Linked DNA regions of Drosophila melanogaster. The protein of the gene in region 2 interacts with the protein of the main gene of each other region in a pairwise test. Each region holds a gene or a part of one and is shown on either strand. Other genes may lie near its edges. The genes, in order: CG15458, CG10209, Eip78C and CG10918.

Region 1 (4,032 bases), on a different chromosome or scaffold from region 2:
CTCCTCCTCGTCCGCCGTCGCCGATCCCATCAGCACGGCGGCGCAGGCCACTGCTAGCAGAAGGTTCGTCATCTTCAACGTCGTCGTCATTCGGCTGCACTGCATCATTTTTGCTCTTCTTGTGAATAGTGGACGGACAGCAATCGGCGCCGGGCAATTTATACCCGCCGCAATCGTGTCCAGCACATCCGGTACAAGCAAATCGCCTCGGATGTAGATCAACCGGCGATAGCCATGACATTGCTGGGGCGGATCATGCAAGCCCCACCACAACCACAGCCAACCACCCATTCGTCCATCCATCGCAGCCCAGTTAAAATACAGCACAGATGACGGGGCCCTCCGGCTAGCTTTTATTGATCATCTGGTCAGGGGATTGGGCTTGGGTGTGGGTTTAGGATTGCGGACAAGAGATATACATATCTACTTTATTTGCTGCGGAGTCACCTGTTCCGAATGCCAAAGTGTGACGCATCTGGTATCGCATTGGCAGCCTCGGATGGAAAGCCTAGGGAAACACGAATACCTTGATGTTGTTCTTCAGGCAGCTGAGCAGGGCGTGGGCGGGATCGCAGTTGGGGGCGTTCTTCAGGCCGACGGTGGAGTCCTTGCACAGATTGATGCCCTTGCGGTACTCGTCCTTGTAGCTGTCCGGCAGCATGATGTCCATCTGCTTGAGGGTCGACTCCAGCTGGAACTTTCCCTTCTTGATCTAAGCAGGAGCAGAGCGGAAAGAAGGAGCTGATAATGTAACCAACACAGCCGATGGAAACTTCTTAATACGTACTGCCTGCATCATTTCCAGGATGCAATTGATGTAGCAGTTGGTGTCCTTGCTATTGGGTATGTCACCGTTGCGAATGTTGTCGGCCACCTCGACGCTGACCTTCGGATACTTGGGCAGGCAGACGTCGCGCATCAGCTTTCCGGCAGACCACATCTGCTCCTCCGTCACCTGCAAGTGGACAGTATCCATGAGGCATCCTCCGGCAGAGAGAAGAGCTTAAGGACCTACCCCTGCCTCCGACTGGGGGATTGGTCCCAGGGATATGGCGACGCAGACCAGCAGCAGATGGAACTTCATTTCCGAGACGATTTGGCGGATTCCAGACTCCAGACCCATCGGCGACTCCTTTTATACACGGCCCCCGACATGCAAATGACTTCATATTGGTTCGATCGAACCGCTAAGTGGGTGTGGGAATTATGGGTTAGCGCCAATCGCCGCCCCCACTGCCCATTTCCATATCCAAATGGGCGGGCGGTGGGTGGTGTTCCTGGGGCGGATTACTTTCTGGCCGGGCTATAATCTTGCCACGTTAATTGACAGTGTACACAGGTATGTGGTCACCGTGCGAGGTGGCATGCGAGGCGCGATTCTGGCCGAGATGCGTTGACAATCCCATTGCTGGGCCGCATTTCCCCAGTGTTCATCAGCGATCATGCGAATGCAAATAAGGTTTCAATCTGAGATCTAACGGGGCGGTTCCAAAATCGGTTCCAGAGTTAGGGTCGCATGGATACCGCGCATCCAGTTTTCCGTTTTGAGGTCAAACAATGTAAAGATAATCACAATCGGTAATAATGTTTGGTATATATCTTAAAAAATTATAAAATAAAATCTATTTTTACAAATAGTTTGCTATTTACATATACTCCTTCAAGATGCTGATTTTAAGATATACTATCTGGAAAAAAAAGTTTTTATATTTTGATAGTCCACCAGATACCACCAGATATTTTGCTACCACCAGATATTTTGCATACCAGATGGTTGCTGTTTTTTTGTTTTTTTTCTGGAGACTCACATAACAAGTGGCCATTTTTTTCCAATATATTTAAAAATTTAATTACAAGGCAGGCATTTTAAATATAAGCCTTGTAACCCCTTAAGTAAGTCCATTACACTCACTTTAACCACCTATTACCTTGTATGCAAATGAGTAGTTCGGTTTGATTAGCATTCAAATTAGTTGCAAGTTGGCATTTATTTGGCGAAATGTATTTCATTTGTGCATTTAGTACAACTGATGACGTTGAAATAAGTAGTATTGCGTGTGGCATGAGCCCAAATCGCTGATAAAGCTAACTGCAATAAATAATAAATGTAAATTATAATATCACAAAAGGCTTATGTTTGCATTAGCATAACTGAAGCGTACAGCTAAATAGGCCAGAATGTTTACATGCTAGCTAGGTGATAAAATACATTTGTAGAGGATATATTAGATATATAATGGTCGATCGATATGCGATGTTAATATCAGATTCCAAGACTTTCATACGGACAGACATAGCCATATCGGCTTGGCTAGTGATCCTAATTCCGACCAGGATGGCAAGAAGTTCTGTGTGACATACAATTTTCAACGAATCTAGTAACTGGTTTAAAAATAGTTATAGCTGTAACATGCTTAAAAATTTCATAAAATTGTAAATGGTATTTAGCTCAATGAATTCTGAAGTTGGTTAAAGGTACAATATGAAAATGTCCAAAACTTTCGATTTGCCTCTTGCATATCTCAATTTTCATCACAGTATTTAAGCAGTAATTAATGGGTATCCCATTAGTCGGTACTAGACTTCAGCATTCTCTCTAGTTGGGAAACCCGAGTCGGCTTTGACGACTGTCAGTAACATTCCTTTCATTTCGAACGTTTAAAAGTCACAATCCGAATCCCGGTCTAAAATACAGGTCGAATATCGAATCCAAATTTTAATCTTTTGTTAAAAGCCACGCCAATCCGGTCAACAACGATCCAAAGATGTCCGATCATTTCAACTTCAACGAAGCCTTCAACAGCCAGACCATGCGTGGTCGCGCCAATGTAAGTGATTCAGTACACGGCAGTACACAAGATGCGCCCAAATACGCCACCGAAACCCACAGGTAGCCAAGGCCACCTGGGCCTCGTTGGGACTCGTCTACGTCCTGGTCAAGATGCACCGCCGCAACACGAAGCGGCGCGAGACCAAGCTCTACTGCAAGGGCTGCCAGCAGGCCATGCTCCATGGCTAGGGCGCCGATGCTGCCAAATCATTGAAGTCATGGCTCCCCACCGCTCCGACCCATTCGACCCGTCAGCAATCCATAACTATTTATAATCAGCACCCCCTTTCCGGTCCTCGATGCCACAGTTAAAGGCTTGGGGACCAAACTCATGTACCACCTCGTTGAGTCAATAAAAATCGAATCCTGCCAATGAATCGACTTTGTAATCTAGTTGGCCGAGCTTTGCACTTCGCTGCTTGTCATTAGGTTCTCGCTCGGAGCTATAGGCAGAACACACTCAGCTCTCACCCGGACCCGACCCCAAATCCAGATCTCCAGATCTCCAGATCCAGTCCAGTAGCAATGGCCGACGGCTTTAAGAAGTACTTCAATGGGACAACCATCAATGGACGCGCTAACGTAAGAGTGATTCTATTGAACGCACACAAGATAAAATGAACCATCGCTTTGGAGCTGTTGATGGACACAAAATATTATTTTCAGCTCCAAATTGAAATTCAAAATTATTAATTTAACATTTTTTTACATACATTTTTTACAAATACATATACTATGACCCATTTCGCAGGTGGCAAAGGCCACATACGCCACGTTGGCCCTGTTGTTCATCGTGTACAAGCTGCGCCGCGGATCCGGCAAGACCGGCGAGTTGGCCAGCGGCAAGTGCAGCTGCGAATCGGACCACGAGTCGTCCCTCAATGGCGACATTGGCGTCTACGGCGCGGATCCCGACTGCTCCGTTTGCCGGGAGCGATCGGAGCGGGCCATGACCGAGTTCGATCGCGAGCAGCAGCGCCGGGCGGCGGGCGAGGATGACAATGGTTGTCGCGACGATCCGCCGCCGCCACCACCTCCGCCCACATCGGGAGGATCAGGCTCTGCTCCGCGGCGCAAGTGTCCCTGCGAGGAGCCGCAGCGTCGGGCGGAGGGAGCCGTGAAGCATAGCAGCCACAGCAGCTGGGCGCGAGGCCAGCAGATTCAGCCGCCAAACCAGTACCAACAGTATAAACAGCCCGAGG
Region 2 (5,800 bases):
TCATACGCGTGGCGTATTGAAACAGCGTGAGGGTGAGACCCAGACCAACGACGCTGCCTATGTAAAGGATAAGAAGCTGCATGATCAGTTGGTGGTTGAGATTAAGAACTTAGAACGGCAGCTACAAAGTCTCGATTACGAGGGCGGTCATTTCGAGAAGCTAAAGCAGCGACGCAATGATCTGCACATGCGAAAGCGCGATCTGAAACGAGAGCTGGACCGCTGCAATGCCTCCCGCTATGATCTGCAATACCAGGACCCAGAACCAAACTTTGATCGGCGTAAGGTGCGTGGTTTGGTAGGCAAGTTGTTCCAGGTGAAAGACATGCAAAACTCCATGGCTCTAGTCCAGACAGCCGGCGGAAGTGTAAGTTGTTAAATCTGATTTGAAAAGTTATTTCTTTAATCACGAGTTCTATGTTAGTTATATAGCTACGTGACGGACGATGATGTGACTAGCAAGAAGATCTTGCAGAGGGGCAATCTTCAGCGTCGTGTCACTTTGATTCCCATCAACAAGATTCAATCTGGTTCGCTAAACAGAAATGTGGTAGAATACGCTCAAAACAAAGTGGGCGCCGAGAATGTCCAATGGGCCATGTCACTGATTGACTATGACCGCTATTACGAGCCTGTCATGAAGTTTTGCTTTGGCGGAACACTTATCTGCAAGGACCTCATTGTAGCCAAACAAGTGAGTATATATATTTCTTTTTCTGTACATCTTTTAAATGCATTTTTTTTATCTAGATCAGCTACGACCCCCGTATTAATTGTCGTTCTGTGACTTTGGAAGGAGATGTCGTCGATCCCCATGGCACAGTGTCTGGAGGTGCTGCTCCTAAAGGTGCTAACGTTCTAGAAGAATTGCACGCAATTAAGCAAATAGAAAAGGAGTACAGGGAGATCGACTCTGAGATAGCCCAAGTGGAAAAGCAAATTGCGTAGGTGAACCAGTAACTTCTCATTGCCAATACTTACGCCTATCTGTTTTTAGATCCATTGAAAACCAGGCCCTCGCGTTCAACAAAATGAAGGAAAATCTTGACTTGCGACAGCACGAGCTAACCATGTGCGAGAACAGGTTGGCCCAAACAACCTTTCAACAGAATCAGGCTGAAATTGAAGAAATGAGGGAAAGGGTCAAGACCCTAGAGCAGCAAATAATTGACTCCCGTGAAAAGCAGAAGACCTCGCAAGCCAAAATAGTGGATATCGAGGCGAAGTTGGCAGATGCAAAGGGTTATCGCGAGCGAGAGCTGAATGCAGCCACCAACGAGATCAAGGTGACCAAGCAAAGGGCGGAGAAATCTCGTGCGAACTGGAAAAAGCGAGAGCAGGAGTTCGAAACTCTTCAATTGGAAATTACTGAGCTGCAGAAAAGTATCGAAACTGCAAAGAAGCAGCACCAGGAAATGATTGATAACCTCGAAAAGTTTAAGGCCGAGCTAGACGCTCTGAAAGTAAATAGCTCCAGTGCCGCGTCCGAGGTGACGGAGCTCGAACAGGCGATTAAGGAGCAGAAAGATAAACTGAGAGATCAGAACAAGGAGATGCGAAATCAGTTGGTCAAGAAGGAGAAAATGTTGAAGGAAAATCAGGAGATTGAGCTGGAGGTGAAGAAAAAAGAGAACGAACAAAAAAAGATCAGTTCGGATGCCAAAGAGGCAAAGAAACGGATGGAAGCCCTTGAGGCAAAGTATCCGTGGATTCCGGAGGAGAAGAACTGCTTTGGCATGAAGAATACTCGGTACGATTACAGCAAGGAGGACCCCCACGAAGCAGGCAACAAGCTGGCAAAGATGCAGGAGAAAAAGGACAAAATGGAACGCACTCTCAACATGAACGCTATCATGGTGCTGGATCGCGAGGAAGAGAACTTCAAGGAGACCGAGCGCCGGCGAAACATTGTGGCGATGGACAAGGAGAAGATTAAGAAAATCATAGTGAAGATGGACGAAGAAGAGCAGGATCAGCTGAACAAAGCCGCTACCGAGGTGAACACGAACTTCAGTGGGATCTTTAGCTCCCTTTTACCGGGTGCTGAAGCGAAACTCAATCCCGTCCATACCAATGGCTGTCTGACCGGTTTGGAGATTAAAGTCGGCTTCAATGGCATATGGAAGGAGAGTCTCGGTGAACTTTCTGGTGGCCAGAAGTCCTTGGTGGCTCTGTCCCTTGTCCTGGCCATGCTTAAGTTCTCTCCGGCTCCCTTGTACATTTTGGATGAGGTGGACGCTGCCCTGGACATGTCACACACCCAAAACATAGGTAGTATGTTGAAGCAGCACTTCACCAACTCGCAGTTCTTGATTGTGTCTCTCAAGGATGGTCTCTTCAACCACGCCAACGTCCTGTTCCGCACTCTCTTCGAGGAGGGTGTGTCCACCATCACCCGGCAGGTCAGCAGACAGGCGACAACCAACAAACGCTGAAATGGAACTCGTTTACTTTCTTATCACTTAATAAAACTTTAAAAATACCATATAAAACTGTTCTTATCATTTTAATTGTGAATTTTTTCAAGTTTTTTTAATTCGCAAAAAAGGTTGTGTATTACAGCAATATACTTATTTCAAGAGCCATCGGTCAATATACTTATTGCTACATTACTTAAATCAACGAAATAAGTAATTTAACTACAAATTTAATTTTGTAACGGTCGTTTGCGCATCAGCTGATTTCCAACCGGGCGGGCGAAACGTCAAACTGGTGAGACCGTCAAACGCACACACACACATACGCAGCGGACAGAAGAAGAAGAACGAAAGGCAGCAACAGCAATGTTTGAGGGAGTGAAAAATTAAACAAAAGTCCCCGGAATTCAGCAGCAAAAACTCGACGGCGGTTGAAAAACAAAACATCAAGATTTCGAGCCAACGCAGACTGCTTCAAAAGCTCACCATGGTAATTTGCAAGGTTCCAAAAATTACGAATCGTCCGATTCTTTTACCACACACACACACGACTTGTGCGTGTGTGTGTGCGGGGAGCAGCAAAATATTGTAGACACCGCTGGCATTTGGATAAACAATAGCAACAATTGGAGTGGTGTTCGAGGCGGGAAAAGCACCGATTTGTGGAATTTCATTCATTGGAATGTGGGATTGCTAATGAACCGTTTTACTCTTCCAGGATCGAGTGACCAAGCCGCAGAAGAAGATGCTCATCACACTGCTGCGGGAAACCAAGTACATGGAGGGCAAAAAGGAGAAGGAGTGGTATTGGGAGAAGATCCAAGCGGCCCTTAATACTATTGGTCCCAAGAAGACGATTATTCAGTGGAAAAAGGTGCGTTTACTTGCCTATTAAATCCAAAAATAAACTTTAATCTTCTTCCAGTGCTGGCGCGATATGCGACTGACCACAAGGAAAAAGCTGGCGGAACTGAAGCGCTGTCAACTCTCTGGAGGATCTCCACCACCGGGGATCGAACTAAACCAGGAGGACAACGATATCATCGACATTGTGGGCACCGAGTACTTCTACGAGGAGATGAATGGTGAGCTCAAGGCGGAGAACTTCTTGACCGGCTTGGACTACGCCCCGGAGCATCTGTGCGATGCTATTCTCACGGCAGCAGTGGGCCATCACCAGCACAATATGCAGCACCAGAAGGATCCGCAATCGCATGCAGGGCAACAGCAGCAGCAGGATCATCACACCAACGATGGCGAAACCAATGATGCTCCTGGATCAAGCAATGGTGGCTCATATCAGGGACACCCAGTATCCCAGTTGCAGGCGCACAATGGCAGCGGTGGAGGAGGCGAGCATAGCGGCGGTGGTCAATCCCACTCCGGAATGCTCCAGCACCCTGCTTTTCACGGTGGCTTGCATCCACACCTGTTGAGGCGCCAGCATGGAAGTGGATCACTATCCAGAGAGTCGCCATTTGAGGAGAAGCTTCTGCAGTTCATGCAGGATGCATTTCCAAAAAAGAGCAAGAAGCGCAAGAACCGGGATCCCGACAAGCTGTTCCTCTTATCCCTGTACGAAGAGATCAAGAGAGTTCCGGAGGAGATACGCCTTGATGTAAAGTCCGAACTAATGCAGATACTGAAGAAGTATCAGAAGAAGTCGCCTGTCAAAGCGGAGAAGCCCGCGCCCTCCTCTACGTCAACCTCCTCAAAACTCAGCTCTAGCAGCAGTGGCAGTAGCACGGTGACTACTCACTTGTCCCACAGCATGTACCAGTTGCAAAAGAAATACGAAAAGGGCGAGCGTGAACCATCGCCTCAATCACAGGTAGAGCGAGTAGCATCTGCAGGCGCAGTTGCTGTGCCCATTCATACCTCCCAGCAGCTGCCTCTTTTCCAACTTCAGAAGAAGTACGAGGAGAACAGCGTGGAGAAGGTTCATCAGCAGCAACAGCAACAGCAAAGCGAGCAACGCAAGCATGTGGAGGCCGCTCAGGCCCTTCATGCTGCCCACCAGCAACCGCCTCCACCGCCACCCAATGAGCACCTGCACCACCCCCAGATGGCCCACAACATCATGTTTCCGCTGGGACAGCTTCGCAACGAGCAGCCGACCGCACAGCAACACCAGCATGGCCACAATCCCCACCAGCAACAGCAACAGCATCCCCACCAGCAGCAGCAACAGGGACAGCAACACCATCCGCCAACGATCTTCGGATCGACCGCCAGCGAACGGCCTCCAATGTCCTACGAAAATGTCGGATGAGTCCTGAGCCGTCTGTGGGAAGCCACTTGTGGAGCACCACGCCCTGCGACGGTGTCCCCCACGACGGCAGACGCGCACAGCTGTTAGCCCTCGATTTAGACGGCAATTCGTAGGTCTCATTCTTATGCTAGCCTATACCTAAGTACACATTGCTCACTACACTACTACAGTCAAAAATGGTGCAGTCAATGAGGAAGATACTCCTGATGTATGCCATTTTGTAGTAAGTGGATGCCGTGATCCTCATGTAAATGTTCCCGTGGCAATAACAGCGTAGCTCAACTGTGACTCAAGTTCTCAATAGATCGCGACGCATACATTTTTTCGGTGTAAATACAAATATAATTGAATCTTAAAAACTGTGGATGTTTTTTAGTTCAAGTAAAATGATTGATCCCCAACTTCTGGCAAGAGCTCCCTATTCCCAGGTTTTTGTTTTTCTGGCCAAATCGGAGAAGTCATTGGCTTAGCTCTGAGGTGGAATCCACAATCTTGTTTGTTTGGACTTTGAAAAGCTGTAAATCCGGCAAGCGGTCCGTCGTTAAGCTGTCTTCAGGAATATCTAGTCTTCATCTCTCGTAACGCGATAACGAAACCCACAGGGAGCACGCCATATCATAAAGATAGTCAAACAGCTGACTGATCCGGTCTGCCTAAGTGCGAATTTCAACTGAGCGCTGCCGATCGCCGAACTCGTCGTTGTCTGTCGCATGTTGGGCAGGTTGATGAGCGATCACGAGCCGAGCTGCAGCATAGTCCGCCAGATCTGCGGCGCTTATCAGTGGCGTCCGGCTGGGATAAAGAGATACAGATACAGATACAGGCGGATCGACTGGAGGCAGACTGGGTCTGGCATTCTTTTCCGGCAGCTGCCAGCAGCAGTTGATCGTCAGCGATCGAATCACAGGGATTGGCGGCAGCTCCTGCAGATGCAGAGTTCAAATTTCCAGTGAAGTTCTCAACCAGTCAATCCATTCACCATGGGCCAAGGTACGAGAATGATCTGAAATTCGTGTCTTACCTCGAAACTCGAAGTCGAAGATCTTGTTTAAGACCTCCAAATGAAGAACAACCACAAGTTGGGAGCTCGCATTTCATGTACTCTACTTTG
Region 3 (5,611 bases), on a different chromosome or scaffold from region 2:
CATAATAATAAGCAAATAATTTAAACCAAACGCATTTTGCGCCACTTTGTTGCTGCTGCTGTTCTCGCTGTTGTTGCTGTTGTCTCAAATGTTGCCCATGACGTTGCCCACAAGTCATTGAACTTAACGCGGCGAACGTAGAGCCAACAATAGCAAAATAAATAAACGCGAAAAACGCGAAGAAGCCAAGGCAACTGTCCCCACCTCCCCCCTTCACCCTCGTGAGATGATAAGTGAAATGCAGTAATAATAAGAATAGTGCTCCCCTTTTCCACCCGCCCATCTTTAAACAACTCTCACTCGCACACACACACACGCACACACTCACTCGATTCGATTACACAATCTTCGCGAGCGGCATTTTCATTTTTCTCTTCCTGGTTCGTCGTCATCGCACGTCTGTCTGTATGGGTGAGCGTCTTTGGAGGAGTGTGCGTGGCATATCGGTGTGTCTGCGGAGATCAGGTTTTATCGCCCGACGCAATCGGACATATAGTGTGCTATAGCATGCCACAGCCTGGGTGGATCGTCGGATCGGTGGGGGCGGCGGAGTTATCGCTTCGATTGGTCGTCGTACCTCGGCTGCTCGCTGGCTTTTCGCTTTCGCGGAGGATCGTGGATATGTGGCTCCACCGATCGCCCAGTTGCCGTTTTCCTGTTATTTACAGTTTCTGGTTGCTTTCGCTGCTGCCCGTTGGAAAAATGGCAAGCTAGCATGCAGTTGACGTCGCCGCCGCCGCTGATCATTGACTTTCGTTCGTTCCCTTTTGCGCCAGGCGTTCGTCACGAAAATTGCGGAAAACGTTAGGGAAAAAGGAAAAAATACTATTCGAAAAAGAGATTTCTGTACCTAGTTAATTAATTCCTTGTACCCTTGCAATTTGCACAATCATATTATTTTTTATCATTGTCCTTGAATGTAAATTCATTTTTCGGGAAAATTTGGCATTGTTTGCTTTTTATTTTCAAGTCAAAACATTAAACCTTTTTGACTCAGAAGCAAATTCCTAAATACTTCATTTGATCTTCAAAAATAATTTTCAGGAAAGTATTTTCATGCCAAAAACTGCAGTTTTCCACTTTCTTCTCGGTGAAAAACAGCCCACAAACGCAAAAGCAACATGCAACATTTAAACTTCCGCATTGCAGAATTTGCTCTCCCACTCTGCCGTTCGGCCTTTCTCTTTCCTGCCTGCTCAGCTGAAGGTTCTTTGACTTGACCCCCCTTGAAGGCGCCCACACTTCTGCCCTCTCTCTTTCTCGCGCACACACACATGCCCATTGCCCTCTCCCTCGAGGATAGTGCAAACTAAGTAACGGTCCGAGTCTCTCTCTATTGCTCTCGCTCGCTGCATTGGTGTGTGTGAAATTGATCTTGAGTGGATGTGTGGTTGCACTTGGAAATGTTGGAAGTCGATGCCGACGTTGGCAGCAACGCCGGCAGCGGCAATAGAAATTGAAAATAGCAACCAGGAAAAGAGTTTGCAAATGAAAAAGTGCAGCAACAAAATACAGCTGCAACAGCGAGAGTGGCAATGCATGTTTCTGTTGTGCTGTTGCTGTTGCAACAGTTGCTGCTGCTGTTGCCGATTCTATTGCTGCAGCAGTTTCTAATGTGGCTGCAGCTTTCCAAGTTGTTGCTGTTGCAGCTTGTGTGGCTGCTGTTATTGCTGCTGCTCTTGCTGTCGCTGGCGCTGGTGGAGATTAGAAAGATAGAGCCTCCAGTACTCGCATCACATTGACTCTCTCCAACCGATCTGCTCCCTTCATCTCCTCCAGCGGCTCCACCTCATGCTCCGGCGGCGGCGGCGCTTCGCAGTTTTCCCACTCCATTGGGCCACACAGACGCAATGCATTCTATTTTCCTGCTCTTTCCACACACAGACCAGCGCACAGTTACTCACACTGGCGCAGAGGGACACGTTCTTGTTCTTCTGCGCCGCTGCTCCGTCGTCGTCTTGGACTTTTGTGTGTTGTCGTAGGTTCTACAGTTTAGCTTGGATTTTCCCTGGCGCATTTGGAGCGCTGCGAAGTTGGCGCTTGGATCTCGACGAAGCGAGAGTTTTGTACGCGCGATCACCATTTCTCCCAAAAAATAATAAAATCGACGCGCGAGTGTGCCGCCACAAAACGAACCTATATCGAAACGAGCGCCCGATTTTGGAACTAGCCTGAACTTGGAAACGAAGGACTTCGAAAACAACACGGAAGTGAATTGAAAAATTATGCAATACAAGCTATTACGAAGGCTAAGTGCAAGTGACAAACTTAAGCGAGGGGATTAGTAATGAGAAATGCGAAATGATCGTGATAATTGAATTCAAGCATTAACGAAAGAACTGCGCACAAAGTAGGGAGGCAATAATTACATATGTACATGGCTGGGAAAGGCCTTAACTAAACTTAGCAAACTAATAAATAGAAAAAAGGAAATATTGGCCAAATATTATAGTATTGGGAATATTAGGTTACTTGATATCAAAAATTAATGTCTATTTTATACACTTATTCTTAGACTTAATGTTAACTTATCGTACTTATTATGATTGGTTTTTCAAGATTACCAGAACTTGATAGATTGGTCTAGCTTTTGAAATCGGATAGCATTTTCTTTAAAGGACTTTGCCATATGCTAAAGCCTAACTTCTTTTTTCAATTCAGCCACAGCTGACAAAAGCGAAGAAAATTTGAAAGACCGTGAATCCTTTTGAAACGCCCTCTCCGGATTCCTCATTAAGTGCAAAAGATATAACATCGCAGAGATTTCCCATAAAAATGCTGATCAGGCGCCCTCGCAGGTTGCCAACGTCGATTTCCGCCAGCAGGACGATGATGAAGATGATGGATGCCCATCTCACCGATTCGATCCGAGCAACATGGATGTATACCAAATAGAGCTGGAGGAACAGGCACAAATCCGCTCCAAACTGCTGGTCGAAACCTGTGTGAAGCACTCGTCTTCGGAGCAGCAGCAGCTCCAAGTTAAGCAGGAGGACCTCATCAAGGATTTCACTCGGGACGAGGAGGAACAGCCAAGCGAAGAGGAGGCGGAGGAAGAGGACAACGAAGAGGACGAGGAAGAAGAAGGCGAAGAAGAAGAGGAGGACGAGGACGAGGAAGCCCTGCTGCCGGTAGTCAATTTTAATGCAAATTCAGACTTTAATTTGCATTTCTTTGACACACCGGAGGACTCGTCCACCCAAGGGGCCTACAGTGAGGCCAATAGCTTGGAATCCGAGCAGGAAGAGGAGAAGCAAACACAGCAGCATCAGCAGCAGAAGCAGCATCACCGGGATTTGGAGGATTGCCTAAGTGCCATTGAAGCTGATCCATTGCAGTTGTTGCATTGCGACGACTTCTATAGAACATCAGCCCTAGCAGAGAGTGTTGCAGCCAGTCTAAGCCCACAGCAGCAGCAGCAACGGCAGCACACCCACCAGCAACAACAGCAACAGCAGCAGCAGCAGCAACACCCTGGACAGCAGCAACATCAGCTCAACTGCACGCTGAGCAATGGTGGAGGTGCTTTGTACACCATCAGCAGTGTGCATCAGTTCGGTCCGGCCAGCAACCACAACACCAGCAGCAGCTCCCCCTCCTCCAGCGCCGCCCACTCTTCGCCGGACAGCGGCTGCTCGTCGGCCTCCTCCTCCGGATCTTCGCGATCCTGCGGATCCTCCTCTGCATCCTCCTCCTCGTCAGCGGTCAGCAGCACCATCAGCAGCGGCCGCAGCAGCAACAACAGCGTCGTCAACCCCGCAGCAACATCTTCATCTGTTGCGCATCTGAACAAAGGTACGTGCAATTTGCAACTGACACTGCGACTCTTCCGCGTTGTCGTCTCCTCTCCTCTGCTGCGGACCATTGTTGTCGGTCTTTGAAATTGTGTTCAATAAATTTGCATTCATTGCATAATAGCTGCAACAGCAATTGAAAGTCGTTGGGTCTTCGGTTTCTTCTCCTTTTGAGGAAACTATTAAAGCGCAGCATGGAAAATGTGAAAATGAATATAATTCGCTGTTATTGGCCAATGGCTGTTGCTGTTTCAGTTTTCTCTTTAGTGCGAGGAAATTGCTTTTCATGTTGCACGTCTGTCAATGTGCTTGCATTTGCCGCTGCATTTGCTTTTCCTTTTGGGTGCAGTGCAATTGAAAGCCATGGAAAAGATGTTTTAATTTTCATAAATCGCCTTGAATTGGTCTCGGCTCTCTTTTGCCTTGGATGATGGTATTTGAAGGGGCTAAGCCCATTCTACTCCTCCGGGAGTAGTTGGTGGCTCGAACGAATGGGTAGTTGGAACCGGAAATGCAACAAAACATAGGCTTAATAACTACTACGGTCAGCTGCTGCTTACACAGAGACTTTCAAAAAAAGAAACCAACATATATATTTTAAACAATTTTTTTTATAAATATCTAAATCCAATACATTTTTATTGCTGAATGATTTACCGCCACTAATAGCCAAGAAAATGATTATTTAACTTTAAATATAAATTTGTTTATTTTCAATAAATTTTATAATATTTTGAACTACAATTCGACATTATAAATACTATTCGGCTTGGCTGAACTTGCAAATTGCCTGGATTTTTTGGCGAAGATTTCATTTCGAGTCCTGGAATGGCAACATTTAATTGCGTCAATTAGTGCGAATGAAAATTAAATCTGTTAGGAAAGGCCTTGAAATCAAGCTGGGAATTAGAGGAAAAGTCAAAATCTCGACTGCTTTTTCCACGGCATTCAAATTGATATTCCTCTGCCGGGGCAAAAATTGACTGCAATCGCTCGTTGTCCACTCCACTCAATTAGTTGTCTTCAACCAGATAAATGCATGAAATGAAAATGGAAATGGGAAAAAGTCGAGGAAATATGAAGTCTTTGTCGTCTATCGTCCATGCCTCTGACTTGTCTGACAACGCGGAAATGCCAAGCAGTTTTCCACCAGCCAGTCAGCCAGCCAGCCAGCCAGCCAGTCAACCCACAACCCGCACCCCTTTTTCTTCGGCTGGATAAACAATGGCGTTTCAAATTGTCAACTTGCAAAAGCCACCAAATGATTTGCATTTGAACGCGGCGCGAAAATGAAAAGCAGCCACTTGAGTTTCCTTTGCGTTTTCTTTTCTTTTTCATTCCTGCCCGGGCCGACGACATTTTCCAGACGCCGTTGTTGTAGTTGTAATTGTTGTTGCACTCCAATTGTAAAAATTCAATTTGCAATTGCACAAGCGCGTAACGCGCCATCCACTGTAAGAAAAAACAAATGATGTAAACATGCATCACCAAAGTTGATCACCAAATAAATATTAACAAATTTAAACGGTTTCGGAAGTGATGTGTATTAGATTAATATTTGTTACAAAATTTGTAAAGGACAGTTTCTTGGACCAAGCACAAGGACATTTTATTACAAGAAATAAATTGAAGTTCTGTCTCCATATTTCCGTTCCTGTCGACAGTTTTTCGGTGCGTGTATCCACATTAATTTCATTTTGTTTCGCATTTCTGAGGTGTGGCAACGCCAATGTGCACAGCGGCAACTAGCAACACCAACACCAACAACATCGCGACAACAACAATAGAAGGCTGTTCAAACTCCGCGCTTAGTTCAT
Region 4 (3,966 bases), on a different chromosome or scaffold from region 2:
TTCCTCACCCACAGCACAATCGGTGGAGGGCGAAATGCTGACGCTGTCGAAGATCACGCGATCGGAAATGGGCGCCTACATGTGCATTGCCTCCAACGGAGTGCCACCGACGGTGAGCAAGCGGATGAAGCTACAGGTGCACTGTGAGTACCACTACAGTATATAACTATCCATATATGATACATGATAAATGGGTAGCGCCACCTGCAGCCGTTGGCCAAGAAAATGGACTGATTTATGGCAGTCGAAGGCAGCTAATGCCGCATAATAATCATAATGGTAACATATAGCCCCGTTCGGATGTGCTGTGCTGTGCTTGTTCCAGAAGGGGGCTGTTCCGTATCGGAGTCGTATGTATGTGGCAGAACTATAACCGGAAGCGGAAGAGGAACAGGAACAGGAACAGAACCGCAGCAATAACGCAGCGGCGGCAACTGCAAGTGTTTCCGTTTCGATATCCGGCAGCTTCCTTCACGTGGCCGACAAACTTTCCAAATGCATTAGGGCGCCAAACTTGTGGATGTTGGGTCAAAGGGCATTTTTCCCTACGAATATGGGGAAAGGGGAACGGGAAATATGGAAAACGGGTGGGGGGGTGGCGGGTGTGAAGTGTTTCTTGGGGTAACGCAACGTCACGTTTCTGCAGTAAAACTTTAAAGTTGTGTGAGTTGGCGAGTTTGTGTGTCATGTGAAGTGGTAATTGTTAAGGTTCTGCAGTTCTGCACTATCCCTCTGTCTGCCCACATAAAAAAACCCCCTTTAAGACCTCTTAAAAAACCCCCCCTGTAACTGTTTTACCTTCCCGCATCAAAGTTAATGAAATTTCCAAAAGGGGCAAAAGTTCAAACGACGACAATTGGGCAAGCGCAAAAGCAAGAGGAATTGGGAGAACGCAGAAAAAAAGGCGGAAAAAGGGGAAAAGTACGGGAAAATGAAGGAAAGCCGTAGGGGAAAGCAGAAGAGGGACAGCGAAGAATACCTAGAACCACCAGCTTCTCTGAAAACCCAAAAGATTGTATCCGAAAATTATATTGACACGGTCGTGAATATGTGGCGTCAGTTTCTTCAGCCACACACACACATATGTACTTACTTTTGACGCAAAAATTAATTTTCATTTATATTTTTTTTTTTTTTATCTAAGCCGCAAATTTCTTTTTCTTTTTCTTTGTCATTTCATTTTCATTTTACTCCAAACGAAGTCACCCACCTTCCGGTCCTCGAAATTTCAATTTAAAAATCCCCATATGTGCGGAAAGCGGGAAACGCCATTCTATATTCGCGATTCTTAAACGCCACCCACTCCCGCCGCCCAACTAGGTGTCCTTGTCTCAGCCGCACATTTCACTCGACGCCCTGATTGATTCTAATCAGAAAATTAAGTGGCTCCTCGAGGTCGTTTGCCATGTATTAGCACTAATGTTAAAGATTTCTCTTCCTCGACATCCGCAACTCTCGAATTGGGAAAGTCAGAAAAGCTGTTCAGAGCTTTACTTTTCAGGAACTTAATCCACATTCACTCTAAGATGTTCGATCTTCTATACATATTTTTTTATTAATATAAGAAATATATGTTTATTACTTGGCAGTTGATATAGATAGATTTTAGACATAAATAAATGGCGCAAATGAAGGCTAAGCATGTGTATTTACAAATCAATTGACTTATTTCTGCGAATAAGTGTTACCAATTGAAAGGCCTTAAAAACTAATGAATTTACATAGTTCCTAACTTTTAATAAAGCATGAGAAAATTCAACTTTCGATGCTGGAGTATAAAACAATGCTATAGTCGAGTAAACCGACTAACAGATACCCGTTGCATACGCTTCTACGACTCTAGTATACCCCTTTACTCAGCAAGTAACAGGTATAAATATGTAAATGAAAAAATGAACAAAAAATATAATTTTTCCGACTGAGTCATAGATTTTAAGAGAACTTTTAAACGAGTGCTATTAGAATAAGTAACCCAGTTGTTGACAACAAATAAACAAAGTAAATAAACAAAAATTTGCAGTAGGGTTATAAACCTTCAAATAGACATTCATTTTCTTCTAAGCAAATTTACAATTCGTCTTAGTATTTGGCTAACGTTATGATTGTTTTTTGTTTCATTGTGAGGATACTGCGTAAATTTCTGTAAACTTCCCTCTCTGACACAGCACTTTTTTTTAAACTCAAACGGTTGTATTAAAATAGAAGAATAGAACAATGGAACTAATTCAAACATCGACCAGCTGTTGCCACACGACGAATGAAACAAGAGAAACACACGGATTATTAGATGCGAAGAATTCGAGCTCAGCTCTTCAGGGAGTTCTTCGCTCTATTTTCCATTCTTCGGAGTATCCAGCTAAGCACACAGCCAATGCTGCCGTCACGGGGGATTCTTAGCAAAAAGGCTGATGGATGAATTCGACACCGAATTTTTGGGTATAAAAGGGGCTACACGTACATAACTCAAATCAGTTGCTATTGGAGCAAAAGTCCCACAATGCGTGCCTACATTGCAATTACCCTGCTGGCCCTGGTGGCAGTTGTCGTGGCCCAAGGGGGAGGCGGAAGACGTGGTGGACGCGGTGGCGGCGGAGGCGGTGGCCGAAGTCTTGGAGGATTCGGAGGACGTGGAGGCGGTGGCTTCGGCGGTCGCGGTGGTCCTGGTGGTACTGGTGGCCCCGGTGGCTTCGGCGGACCTGGTCGCTTTGGAGGGCCTGGAGGACTTGGCGGTGGTGGAGGATTCGGAGGTCCCGGCCGCTTTGGCGGTCCCGGAAGCTTCAATGGTGGATTCGGCGGTCCTGGCGGTTGGGGCCCACGTCCACGTCCTCGTCGCCCAAGACCTTGGTGGACGACAACGGAGAGTTCCTTGGCCGACACCAGCAGCACAACTAGCAGCTCCTCCAGCTCCACCGACAGCAGCTCCTCTGCCAGCTCCACTGATAGCTCCACCGATAGCTCCACCGATAGCTCCACCGATAGCTCTACCGATAGCTCCACCGATAGCTCCACTGATAGCAGCTCCACGGAGAGCACTACTGGTTCGGGATAGATTCTGAGTCTCAATTGCAGCGTATTGAAAACTTTCTGGGAAATGTATGAAAATAAAATCTAATTGGCACATTGAAACTTAATTTCATTAACTTGGAATATATTAGTCATATACAGTCATATTAGTCTTACAGACTAGCCGAATCTATTCAGCAATGTCCGTTCGTATTAAGACCTTTGATTCGCACCAAAAAATATCTCGATTAGCATATGAGATTGAAAGCTGTCTCTTAAGAGAATTATCGTTTCTGTTATTTCTTCGATATCGACAGGCAAATCAATCATCTGATTAATGAAATATCATCATTTGTTATCATAAAGTAAACAGCATGAAGGCTAGTTATTTTGATAATTTAATTTTGGCAGCTGCCTGCCGAATAGCTCTATTAGGGCAAATTGAATTTTCAATAAGTGGTAGGCTAAGCGAGAATTGGACATAATAGGAAACACCCGACACCGCTGAGAACACCACATGACATATGCTGCACCATTTCGAGTCCAAAGGGGTGGTGCAACGAACGGGGGCACGGGCACAAACGTGCGGGGAACCTAGTAGGAGTAGGGACCGAAAATCCGGACGCCATATAGAAGAGGGCTGAGAGTGCGGAATGTCCAAATCCAATAAATTGACCAATAATGAACGCTCGAATGCAGCTCGAGGCGAGAGCGCTGTGCAGTGGGTGAACGTGGGAGCAAAGTTGAAAAGCCAAAAAACAATGATGGTCAGTGGCTCTGGCCTGCGGTACTTTGGTCCTTCGCTTTTCCGTCTGCGCTCCCTGGGGCGGCTTCAAGACAACGTCAAAGGCAAGGGCGAGGGGCCAGAAGCTCGAAAAAAAAGACACGAAAAGAACGCAAAAAATCAACTTGCAAAAAATTCCGAAAAGAACAAAAAAAAAAAAAAAAACAAACTCAACACGA

The links.
Region 1: the proteins of CG10209 (region 2) and CG15458 interact in a two-hybrid assay, tested with the Drosophila melanogaster proteins (2 studies listed by BioGRID).
Region 3: the proteins of CG10209 (region 2) and Eip78C interact in a two-hybrid assay, tested with the Drosophila melanogaster proteins (one study listed by BioGRID).
Region 4: the proteins of CG10209 (region 2) and CG10918 interact in a two-hybrid assay, tested with the Drosophila melanogaster proteins (2 studies listed by BioGRID).

The regions. Positions count from the first base shown.
Region 1 is NC_004354.4:20,412,821-20,416,852, reverse strand, and holds CG15458 (uncharacterized protein), read left to right. Parts: upstream 1-2,653; 5' UTR 2,654-2,765; coding exon 2,766-2,828; intron 2,829-2,890; coding exon 2,891-3,019; 3' UTR 3,020-3,201; downstream 3,202-4,032. Other genes in the region: Obp19b (Odorant-binding protein 19b), read right to left, coding at 1-108; Obp19a (Odorant-binding protein 19a), read right to left, coding at 509-712, 788-955, 1,016-1,084; CG15459 (uncharacterized protein), read left to right, coding at 3,356-3,412, 3,582-4,032. UniProt on the Drosophila melanogaster protein: Mitochondrial membrane ATP synthase (F(1)F(0) ATP synthase or Complex V) produces ATP from ADP in the presence of a proton gradient across the membrane which is generated by electron transport complexes of the respiratory chain.
Region 2 is NT_033778.4:14,845,307-14,851,106, reverse strand, and holds CG10209 (uncharacterized protein), read left to right. Parts: upstream 1-2,740; 5' UTR 2,741-2,904; coding exon 2,905-2,907; intron 2,908-3,135; coding exon 3,136-3,291; intron 3,292-3,342; coding exon 3,343-4,689; coding exon of another isoform or gene 4,690-4,776; 3' UTR 4,777-5,043; downstream 5,044-5,800. Other genes in the region: SMC2 (structural maintenance of chromosomes 2), read left to right, coding at 1-367, 425-694, 751-944, 998-2,435; NaPi-T (Na[+]-dependent inorganic phosphate cotransporter), read left to right, coding at 5,670-5,679.
Region 3 is NT_037436.4:21,224,597-21,230,207, forward strand, and holds the start of Eip78C (Ecdysone-induced protein 78C), read left to right. Parts: upstream 1-2,322; 5' UTR 2,323-2,876; coding exon 2,877-3,795; intron 3,796-5,611. UniProt on the Drosophila melanogaster protein: Induces the early late puff 78C which triggers puparium formation and development.
Region 4 is NC_004354.4:21,427,775-21,431,740, reverse strand, and holds CG10918 (uncharacterized protein), read left to right. Parts: upstream 1-2,484; 5' UTR 2,485-2,497; coding exon 2,498-3,049; 3' UTR 3,050-3,127; downstream 3,128-3,966. Other genes in the region: DIP-beta (Dpr-interacting protein beta), read left to right, coding at 15-143.